Linked DNA regions of Canis lupus familiaris. The protein of the gene in region 1 interacts with the protein of each later gene in a biochemical or structural test. Links are inferred from orthologs where the notes say so. Each region holds a gene or a part of one and is shown on either strand. Other genes may lie near its edges.

Region 1 (5,655 bases):
CATTGTCACTGTTGAATAGGACTCCATTGCATTCATATGCCACAATTAATGTATTCATTCTCTGGTTGATGAGCAATTGGATTTTTTCCAGTGTTTTTAAATTTTCTATTAGAAATGGTTCTTCCATAACAATTCTTGCACATGGCCTTGGTGTACACAGTATATTCGTACTGCTTTCTCATGTCTATGACCCAAATTACTTTGGTAATAACAAAGTGTTTCCAGAGTGATTGTACCTACTTGAATTTTTGTCAACAGTGCATAGAGTTCCAAATTTTCTCTAAGGTTGGGATTGTCCATTTGTCATCTGTTCATCTAGAGATTAATTTTCATGTGCACTGTGCCATGTAAATTGTGACTGTTTATTACAGTACGTTGTTCTCCATGTGTTGTGGAAACCATGCCGTGTGGCCTCATTCTTTTTACGAGTCATTAGCTAAGACTTGGTACCCTTGATCTCCAGGCTTGCATTGATCTTCTTGGAAAGCTGGTTACAGCTGCAGAGCAGTTGTGGCAGCTTGGAACATTATGGTAGTCATGCTACACACCACATGGGGCAAAATGTCCAGTCTGGAAAAGCAGACTCTCATTTTTATTATGTCAGACTAATACAGTAAGAAAGAAGAAAGACAAGTGGCTGTAAAAAGAAAAAGCAGAAGTGTAACTCTTGCCGCTGCTTTTTTTTTTCTCTGGGGAAATAAGAAGTTGCCAGTCCAGGTGCTAAACAGATTTGTTAGTTGAGAGAAAAGTCAAGTGGCTGATGGGGTGCACTTTACAGTAATTTAGAAGAAACAGGCTGGCTATCATCATCCCACTCAGTGAAGCTTGATTTTCTTGATCCTTGGTGACATTGTAATAGCTTTCCCTGTTCCCATCTACTAGTTTTGTTTTGTTTTTGTTTTTGTTTTTCAGTTAAGAACTATGGAGAGAGGATAGGTGAGGCTCTAGGACTCCTTCGGGATACACTGCAAGGAAACTGAGCTTCTTGTTTGGGGAAAATAAACAATTGGAAGAGGCAAGTGCTTGAATTTTTCTCATGAAAGATTGTCTGCTCCCTTGCTGGCCTGGCCAATTTAGTGGCTTGGCCAAGCAGAAGGGCCCCACCCTTTAATAGCTTTGAGGATTCTGCTCCTGAACACCTGGTCGAACTAGAAATTCAGAGGCAGAACATGAATGTGAACAATCAAGATTTACCTAGAGAAATATAGAACCTCTGTTTGTACAAAGAATAGATACAGAAGGGAAGAAATCCATCTACCACTTGTACTCTGCCAGAGAGGCTGCCTCTCCCTCCCCTCTTCCTTCTCCTCCTCCCTCCCGTTCTCCTCCCCACTCCTCCTACCCCACCTCATTCAGGTCTCTCCTTTTGGCTCTTCCTCCCATCTCCCCTTCTATCTTCAGCCAGACCTGGGGTCTGTAACAGGAGAGGTAACTTGGAGCCTCTGCTATGTCCTTCTTATATATTCTTCAGACCCAGGAGAGGATTAGTCACTGAATAAATGTGCTAAATATGCACCTTCTTCACAAAGGTGAGCAGGAATTTCTTGCTGGGTGCAGGGAAGTGTGCCCAGACATAAAAGGAACTGTCCCTCTCATTTTCCTCCTCCCTGACTTAAACTGCCTTCTGCTCTCTAAATGACAGTACAGAAATGCCGTTTTCATATCATGGTTCTTTAAGTGGAAAAATTTATCCATGAATTTATGCAAATGAACAGAAAGTCCCAAAGAGACCTGATGGAATTGATTATTCTGCTTTTCCTTGAGCCCAGGAAGCAACTGGGGACAGAATGACACCTGCTAAAAACAGGGCTATGTGTGTTTGGGACAACAGGAAGTAGTGACCATCTAGAAGCCAGTCCTGACCTGATTACAAATCTGGTTATAAAAGAAAGCAGCTGGAAAGAAATTTGCATGTCCAATAGGTTTCACTATTAAAGTTTACACGACGTGGAGTAATCAGCCAAGCCGGCTGGCTACCCAGATCACATGATTATGTAGAAACATGAAACTTGACTATGTGCTCGAGCAAGTTTTACTTCTCCCTACTGTAGGGTGTTTGCCAGCAGCCTGCACTCTCGGAAATCAGACTCAAGTGACTGGGACCCTTGAGATCAAAGGCTTACCATGCTTCTCCCTAAGAGGGCCAGGGCCTGCTGACATTACTGCTGACGGTTATTCGTGGTTCTTATAATTAACAAAAAGAATGGACAAGCTTAATAAAATAACTGTCCCTGCCAGTCAGAAGTTGAGGTAAGATTTTCCTTATCTAATACTTCTCCTTCCTCTGCTTCTTCTGCTTCTTCTTTTTTTTAATGCTCCTACTGCATCTGAGAAATATTGAAATCCTGGAATACTTTGCTAGTTGTAAGGCAGTGGGTGGCAGTTGCTATAGGGAAGTAGACTGAGTTTTTAAAGAGATATGTAGGAACAAGTGGGCTTATTCCTGCTGGTTTTAGCTATTGAAAGATTAAGGTAGAAAATTCTGGAGAATTCTGGCTTAGATTCTACTAAAGTTCAGCTTTCTGAGTCTGAATACAACAAACTAGTCTAAGGAAGGGTTTGTCTAACCCTTGTTTAACCTTTGCTAAACGCTTAACTATTTCATTGTGGATTACTATTTAATATTTAATGTTAAGGATCATTGTAATCATTTGTATTCATTGTAGTTGTACTATCTCTTATTTATTTTGTGGGTGTATATCACAAGTGCTTGGGGACAGGAGATCTGTTTTTCCAGTGTTCTTATGTCAGTATAACAATTATCTATAAAAAAGCCACTTGGAAAAAAAAAAAAAAAAACAGAAGTGGTGCAAGGAGCAAGAATCAAAAAACTCCTCTGAGTTATGGAAAAGACAATGTCTCAAATTCTCATTTGGAAGATCTTTTTGTCTCATTGTAACAGCATCATGTTTTTAGAGACTGAAACTTTTAAATACACAATGAGTGTTCTATATTCCAACTACCATTTGAACTTCAGTTTTTAGAGGGTGATATGACACGTGAAGCAAGTAAGTTTCCACAAATAATAAGGAGCTAGAGAATTAGAGCTTTTGAGACAAAATTTATGAGAAATTAGCCTGGAATTGGTAGAGGGATGGCCCTTTACAGTGAGAGTATGCATCTTACATTTGGCCGGTGCTTGGTAAATAGTGGTTTGAAATGAACTGCTGATCTGGGACCAGTAGGCTCCATTAATGTGCTCAGACATTTCAAGGGTGTGTTGGTGAGGGCTGCGGTATGACCTGCACTGACAGGGGACAAGAAGGTGCCTCAGCCTTTGCCTTGGTTTCAAGTTGCTACACTCTCATGGGAGGGGGGCAGGTGAATCAATGAAAGTAGTAAGTGACTGAATGAGTATAGAAAAGGAATTGGAAAAAAAAAATTAAAAAAAAAGAAAAGGAATTGGGATAGCCAGGAAAGGTTTCATGGAGAAGATGCTTCAAGAGCTAGGTTTGAGAGGTGGCTTAAGGCAAAAGTAGTGTGAGAATTGGAGGAAAAGCAATGAGCCAGGAGGAAGGAAATAGAGAAGCTGACACTTGAGGCTGGCCTTGACTCAGTGCATTGGTGGGATGACGAGGAGAGTGTTCTGTCCAACAGAGACTATGGAATAGGGTATATGGTACCAGAGGGTAGTCATAAGGGAGAATGTGTCGGGTGTGGCCAGCTCACAGAGGACAGTGAGGCTCTAACTGTGGGGGATTAGAGAATGGTTTACAGGGTTAGAGATGCCATGCCAGCAGGCTTACTAATGGGTGACAGAATGGACTACAGGGGTAGGAAGCTGGGGGCAGGGATATTCTGTAATGACGGTAGTTGAGGAATGACGGCTTCTAGTGTTAGGGGCCTGGACATGGGGCACAGCAGTGAGAAGGGAAAGGAAAGGAGAGGTAAGAAAGACATGCCAAAGAAACTAACAAGGCATGGATATTAGTGCTTCTCTCAAATGAGCAAGAGGGTTTTAAAAAGTCCTTTCTAAACATTCCATAACCTAGAGCTATACCAAGCCTTAGAACCCCTTTTAGGAAATCCAGATCAGAATTTAAGTAAAGGAAAGCACTAGAACCTGAATCACTGTATGATCTCCACCTGCCACCCCCCATCCCTTGGGACAAAGACCAGCTTAATCACAGAGTGGTTGACAGGCAATATGCAACCATAGATTATAGGGTAGAAAACCAAAACTCTACTGTGGATAATCATACACTACATTCATCTGCTTAGGCAGAAGTAACTTTTTCTCCACTTGGTCACTCAGTTGTCTTTACAGAATTGGTCTGTTTTGGTAAAATGTGCACTGCTGACGTGGAACTTTAAAAAAAAATGAAAAAAAATGAAATTGTAAACACGATGGACTTGAAGCACCATCTTAAATATTTTCTAGTTAGATGGGATGGCAAGGAGTAGGGAAATGAAGTAATTGATCCCTATGGTCTGTGTCCTCTGTCCTGACTCGTTAATACCAAATCAGACGGTTGTCTAACTGCAATTATTTGGTACCAGGTGACAGTATAAGTGAAGAGCTGTGTTTATATTCTTAGGTTTATCAAAATTTAGATGAGAATTTGCTTAAATTTTTAGCCACAAAAGTAGAGAGATAATTAGTGTCCATCAAGGGCACATAGTGATCCTGGCCCATAATAATTATCAGATTAAAAATGATATTAATATCATTATTATTCTTTCTTATTAATTCCATAGGTGTGTAATTGAAATCCTGAATAGAAACATAGGACTTTACATTGATCCTTGATAAAGTTTATGTTCATTTCAGTTCTTCTTTTTATCTATTTTGGTTATTCGGTTATTTTGGTTATTTTACCTGTTGGTTGTAACTCCTATGGCATTTAGCTTTGCAAGGACTGGAGGCACAACAAACAACCCTCCTCTGCCTTAACCTAAGTGGCTAATAAAACTGTTGAGCACACAGAGCCCTTCTTGGGTGTCTGGGTCTCACTGCTAGGACTCTTACTTAGAGATCTAATTTCACAGGTTTTGGGACATGGCTTCTCTTCTCGAGTCTTGGAATCCTTAATTGGAATTTCCAGTTACTTGATTTTTCAAGTTCGATTCTTCAGAAACAAATCCACTGGGGTGTCTGGCTGGCTCACTTGATAAAGCATGCGACTCTTGAACTCAGGGTCATGAGTTTGAGCCCCATGTTGGGCTGTAGAAATTTAAAAAAAGAAAGAAAGAAAGAAAGAAAGAAAGAAAGAAAGAAAGAAAGAAAGAAAGAAAGAAAGAAAGAAAGAAAGAAATTCACCTTCTTTTCACCTTCCTGCCACTAGCTCCATCTCTGATACTCTGTTTCTGTCAATAGTATTGTCATCAACCCTAACTCTGATTCATCCCTCTCTGCACTGCCATTTACTACCACACCCTGTAGTCTTTATTTTGTGATACTTCCATATATTCTACATATGGCTTTTCTGTCACATCACCCTGGATAGATCCTCATCTCCCCTGTGTCCCCCATCTATAAAATGAAGAGTTTGGAAACAGACAATTTCCAAAGTCTCTCTCAGCTCTAATGCTATGTGATCCCTTAAGCATGGAGACCATTCTCTGACCCCACTCTTGGGCAGCTTTCAAAGATTTTATCCCAAAGCCCTCAGGAAATATTTCCTGATTGAATCATCTGTCTTTGACAGATGCCTA
Region 2 (5,719 bases), on another chromosome or scaffold:
AGTTGGGAAGGATTTATTATCACTAAGTGGCCATGACAGAGCAGGGAGGGGGAGGTGACACTAACGAGGCTCTACAATCAGCTCCCCTAGAGGCAGCGATTAAGGGCTCATTACCCGCTGGGTGTTGGGGGGGGGGGGTGGGGGAAAAGCAGCAGGAGGAGCGCTGAATTGGGGCATGGGGAGGGGATGAGGACAGTCTAAAGGGAAGAAGAGCAGACACCCTCAAGGGAGAAGTTGAGTCAGGACACTTCCAGGAAAGATTATGAAAAGAGAACAGGAAGGGGTGGGGGGACACCAGAGCTGGCGACACAGCAGGAGAGGGCAGCCCACAGGGTCACCCTGCAGGGTCACGGCTTCTCCAGCTGGACATCCCCGTCTCCAATGTGGAGGCTTCCCACGTCCTGGTAGGTGCCCTGGAGGCCCCTGGAGATGTCCTCGTACATGGAGCAGTCATCCAGATTCAGGCCCTGGGTGTGGACACACGGTGGTGGGGCTCAGCACCCTGACGCCCAGACCCACGGCCCCACGTGACCCCGGGAAGGACCCCCATGAGAGCCCCAACGCACCCGCCCCTAACCTGTCCCCACTCGCCCACTCACCTCATAAAGGTTTTCATCTTCATAGTCATCCTGGGCATCCACCCCAAACTTCATATTTTGCCATCGTTTCTGGGAGGGAGGGATTGGGAGCCACAGTGAGGGGAGGTGGGAGGAGAAGATGTTTTCTGAACCTCCTGGATGCTGAGAAGTGCTTGACCAGAGGAGGTAAGGTATGGCCAAAGCCACATAGCAGGTGAGTGGCAGGTGTCTCTGGATCCAAGCCCGTGTCCCCCTGGCTGTCTCTACTGCCTCACTGCTCTTGCAGGAGCCACAACTATCATAGAAATGGCAGTGGCTGTCCTGTGGCCTAAGGCGGGGCTGGTGCAGGTCAGAGACTCCAGGAGGACAGCCAGGCCCCTCTTCCCTGGCTACCTCTGGAGGGCTCCTGTGCCTCTGGTTGGTGGGGGGGGGGTAGAGCGAGACACCATGGCTGGGTGAGGGGGACTTGGGGGGTATGAGGACAACCCTGAGGGGAGACGGGGTGAGGAGGCCCCTCTGGGCCCTGCCCCCTTTATTTATTGATTTTTTAAAGATTTTATTTATTTATTCATGAAAGACAGAGAGAGAGAGAGAGAGAGAGAGAGAGAGAGAGAGGCAGAGACACAGACAGAGGGAGAAGCAGGCTCCTTGCAGGGAGCCTGACGGGACTCAATCCCAGGACTCCGGGATCATGCCCTGAGCCAAAGGCAGACGCTAAACCGCTGAGCCACCCGCTGAGTACCCCCTGCCCCCTTCAAAATCCTGTCATGGTGCTAATTCATTTGCCCCTCAGCCTTGGGATGGGGCTGTCACCCTCCCATGCTAGGAGGGGACCTCAGCGTCAGAGGGTCCCGGTCCACCGGGGGGCTCACCCTGAACAGCAGCAGGGTCCCAGGCACCACGGCACAGAACAGCAGGATGATGCCCTCGGCTGTGATGATGTTGTTCTTGGTACCCTCTCCCATGTCCAGGAAGGGTCTGGGGAGCCGCTCTGGGAGGAGGGGGTGCTGCTCAGAGCACTGGTGCCTCCCCGCCCCAACCCTCCTGGCCTCCCAGCCCTGTCCCCACCCTCTGATGTCCGCGGCCCCATCCTGGTGGCGCAGATGGGGCAGCATGGCCGGGTGGCCTGGGAGCCACACCAGGGCTGGCACTCACCGCGCACGCGGAGGTAGGTGCCGCAGGACTGCTGGGAGCTGAGGATTTTTTGGTTGAGATCTTTCTCCTCCACCTGGCATCGGTACATGCCCATGTGGCTCTTGTTCACAGTGTCGATGGTCAGCTCGCCATTGGGGCCTTTGCCGTAGCTCAGGAAGATGTCGGGCCAGGTGGCGTTGCCTTGGAGGACGCGCCACCACGTGATGTTGAGCTTGCTGGACAGCCTGCTGCGGTTATGCAGGCACTGGAGGCGGGCTGTTTCCCCCAGGCTCACCGTCATCGATGGCGGGCCCCCGTCCACCCACAGGGCCTGGCTCCCGGGGCCTGTGGAGAGGAGGAGACAGGGACTGTGGATGGGCCCCAGCTCTGGCCTGCAGCAGCAGCACCCCTGGGCGCTTGTGTGTGTGTATGTGCGGAGGGTGTTGAAGACACTCCCGAGGAGGAGTGTAAGACACCTTGGGGTGGTGACACACCCCTGCAGGTCCCCACACCTCACCAGCGCCATCTCTTGCCACCCTCCCTGCCTGCGCTCTGTCCTTTGCCCCCAGAGAACTCAGTGGCGTTTGGATATTTGATTTCCTTGCAGTAGGAGTGCCCTGGACCAGGTAGCAACCTCCAGGATCAGTCTGGGCATCACCTCCTCCTCCTGAAGGCCTTCCAGGCTCGCTTTCCCAGCCCCCAGCTTCTCCTGGCACCTGGCACTTTATCTGGTGTAATCTTCACTAACCCCTTCGAGGTAGGTTCTCTCATTATCCCATTTTGTAGGTGGGACAGCTAAGGCCCAAGGAGGATGCGTTGATTGCCTGGCATCACCAGGGCAGCAAGAGAGGCTAGCATCTCAAAGTCTGAGCCTTTGGGCCTACCTTGCCCTGTGACCTCAAACCCGTCTTGTTCTTTGTAACTTGTGTGTGTAGACCTGGGGGTCAGGAGTGAGTTAGGTTGGCAACTGGGTGTGCGGAGGGTGGGGGTGGGGGGTTAGGGGAGGGCCTCAGCGAAGTGGTTGGCTGCTGGGGAAACCCCAGCTCCCAGTCCCCCAGGCAGGCCCACCCACCTGGCTGGCTCTGCTTCTTTTGGAGGGAGGAGGTGGGAGGTGAGGGAGAGAGGAGGAGGAAGAGGTGGAGAAAGAAGCAGCAACCTTAGGGGCGTGGGAGCCAATCCCTGGCCCCACTCCCAGTGTGTAACCCGGACAGTCACAGCCCCACCAGCTGGCATTGTATGGGGTGGAGGTGGGGAGGAAGCCCCAGGAGGGCAGTGTCTTGATGAGGAGCCCCCTTCCCCAGCACTGAGAAGGGGTTCCCTACACAGTGGGGTGACGGAGATTCAAGGCAAAGAAGGAGAAAGCTGTTTCTTCTCTCTGAAGCTGAGAGCTACCCCCAAGTCCCCTTCCTGCCCCCAGCTCTGGAGCTCAGTCAAGGGCAACCTTAGTTCCTTATTTTGACCTGTGGGGATGAGGGGGTGGGGAAGTCGTCTGTCGCCCTGTTCTCCGTCCATGTGGCTGTGGACACCCCTTCAACTTTGCCGAATCCCCTGCAGCCTCCCCTCGGACCTGCGGCCTGCTCAGGATGGTCAAGCAGGTGGATGCAGTTTCTTTAGGGGCTTTCCCGGCACCCCCCTACACCTGCTGGCTCTTCACTTCCACTCCCAGTGCCTTCGTCTCTGCCTCTGCCCTCTCTCCAGCCTCCTCAGTCCTCCCCGCCCCACCAGCCCCCACCTCCCAGCACCAGCCTGTTAGCCACGTACCCAGGCCACCAGCAGAGATTAGGAAGAGGAGAAAGGTGGTGGCACACAGCGCTTGGAGGAGTCCGGGACCCCCAGGCATCTTTCCCAGTGGGGTGGTTGGTCTGGGGAGCAGCAGTCCTGGGGTACCAGATTCCACCTCGGCTGCCCCGAAACCCCGCCCCACTTCCTGCCCAGCCCTGCCGGAGATGGGCTCCAATGGCCCCACGGCTGGGCCCCTTCAGCTGTGGGCTGGAGGAGGGGGGGCAGCCCCTGTCACTGTGCTTCAGGCCCGGAGTGGAGAGAAACCGCTCCCTGCACCTGTGGCCACAATTCCCCTGAGGGGAGGTTGCTGGGTGGGGGAAAGAGACCAGTCGAGGCCTGGCTCCTCACAGGCCAGCCCTGGGAAGGAAGCCTGAAGGAGCCAAAGTCTGAGGTGTCTCTTGCCTACTGGTGATCTGCCGGCCCGGAGCTTCTGGGCCTGGTCTCTGCTCTTCACTGGCTGTAGGCAAAGCTTATCTCCTCTCTTGAGCCTCCATGTCCTCACTTCTTGGTGCTGGAACCCAGGATTCAAAGGGGTTGTGCATGCAAAGCTCTGAACACAGGGCCCAGCCCATAGTAGCTGCTCAGTAAAAAGTGGTTACTACTAATGCTCATGAGGAAAAAAATGAGGCAGGTCGACCAGCTCTATGACTAGGGGTGGCTTCCTATTCTGAGCCTTGGCATTAAATTTTTTTTTTTTTTAATTTTAAAGTGGGACGCCTGGGTGGCTCAGCGGTTTGGTGCCTGCCCTTGACCCACGGCCTGATCCTGGAGTCTCCGGATTGAGTCCCATGTCGGGCTCCCTGCATGAGCCTGCTTCTCCCTCTGCATGTCTCTCTCTCTCTCTGTGTCTCTCATGAATAAATAAAATCTTAAAAAAATTTTGTTAAGTAATCTCTACACTCAACAGGGGGCTCAAACTCACAACCCCAAGGTCAAGAGTCACCAGCTCTTACTGACTGAGCCAGCTGGGCACCCCAGCCTTAGCATTTAGAGAAGAGGATGAGAATAACTCCGGTGTTGTAACATGAGATGATGTTCCCAGCACCTGAGTGAGAAGTTAGAGCCACGGAGGGTTCTTGAGGCAAGTCAGCCTCCCCACAAGTGGGCAAGGTAGGCCCCGCCCCATTGTACAGAGAAAACGGGCCCAGAGAGATGCCGTAGCTTGCCTGGTGTCATACGGCCTGGGAGTGGTGGAGCAGAAATTCAAAGTCACTTACGTGTGCCCACATACCTTGGAGCATCATTGTAGGTCATGTGGAAGGAAACTGAGTCCGAGGAGTGGGGGTGGGGAATTACAAGAGATTGTTGAGATGTTTGTGAGCAGTCGGGGGACCATCACGCTCACGCATAAGGAGACACTTAGGAAAAAATTTTACTGCAGGGACATTTTTAGTAGCAAATGTGGAAACAAAGAGTCCATGTAAGGGAGATGGGATGCACACATTGTGATGTAGGCAGCCCGTGGAGTAGCACTCCGCAGAGGAAGAAGCTGAGCTCTACTTGTCAACATGGCTGCATCTCAGAAACGGCATGAAAATGACAAAAAACATGTAGCATGCAACAGTTGACTTGTTTCCAAAAGGCGAAACGACATCGGGTGCCGTTAGGGACACGTGCACCTGTACTTGAGGTGTGAACTGTGCGGGGGAGTGACATCCAATTCCTGAGAGGGGTTCCTTCTGGGGGGGAAGGGAGGGCTGGGACTGGGAGGGATAGAGGGCTTTGCCCATCTTGGTTTTAGGTCTTGTTTTACTTCTTTAAGCTGGGTAGTGTGTCCACGGGTTCTTCTCACAGGAATAGGAATAGGAAGTTTTGCATACTTGAAGCATTTCATAAGTTTTTAATTTTTTAAAAAATTTTTATTTATGATAGTCACACACAGAGGTAGAGAGAGGCAGAGACACAGGCAGAGGGAGAAGCAGGCTCCATGCACCGGGAGCCTGACGGATTCGATCCTGGGTCTCCAGGATCACTCCCTGGACCAAAGGCAGGCGCTAAACCGCTGCACCACCCAGGGATCCCCCATAAGTTTTTTAAAAAGTGCAACCATCACCTATGTGGAGGAGCATGGGCCACAAGTTTGATTCCTATATTTGGATTTCAGCTCTGCCAACTGACTGGTTGTCTGGGCCTAGGTTTCTTCTCCTGTAATCTGGGCACAATCCCCCTGGAACCCCCTTGTCCTGCTTGTGAGGCTGCAAGAGTAGGACAGTGAGTTTTTTTTT

Evidence for each region. The genes of interacting proteins can lie anywhere in the genome.
Region 2: the proteins of BLNK (region 1) and CD79A form a complex in vitro, tested with the Homo sapiens proteins (2 studies listed by BioGRID). The link is inferred for Canis lupus familiaris from reciprocal best matches to the Homo sapiens genes BLNK and CD79A.

The regions. Positions count from the first base shown.
Region 1 is NC_049249.1:9,879,650-9,885,304, reverse strand, and holds the start of BLNK (B-cell linker protein), read left to right. Parts: upstream 1-1,942; 5' UTR 1,943-2,203; coding exon 2,204-2,250; intron 2,251-5,655. UniProt on the Homo sapiens protein: Functions as a central linker protein, downstream of the B-cell receptor (BCR), bridging the SYK kinase to a multitude of signaling pathways and regulating biological outcomes of B-cell function and development.
Region 2 is NC_049222.1:113,151,113-113,156,831, forward strand, and holds CD79A (B-cell antigen receptor complex-associated protein alpha chain precursor), read right to left. Parts: upstream 3,647-5,719; 5' UTR 3,553-3,646; coding exon 3,474-3,552; intron 2,470-3,473; exon of another isoform or gene 2,320-2,469; intron 2,058-2,319; coding exon 1,734-2,057; intron 1,570-1,733; coding exon 1,451-1,569; intron 669-1,450; coding exon 600-668; intron 468-599; coding exon 348-467; 3' UTR 99-347; downstream 1-98. UniProt on the Homo sapiens protein: Required in cooperation with CD79B for initiation of the signal transduction cascade activated by binding of antigen to the B-cell antigen receptor complex (BCR) which leads to internalization of the complex, trafficking to late endosomes and antigen presentation.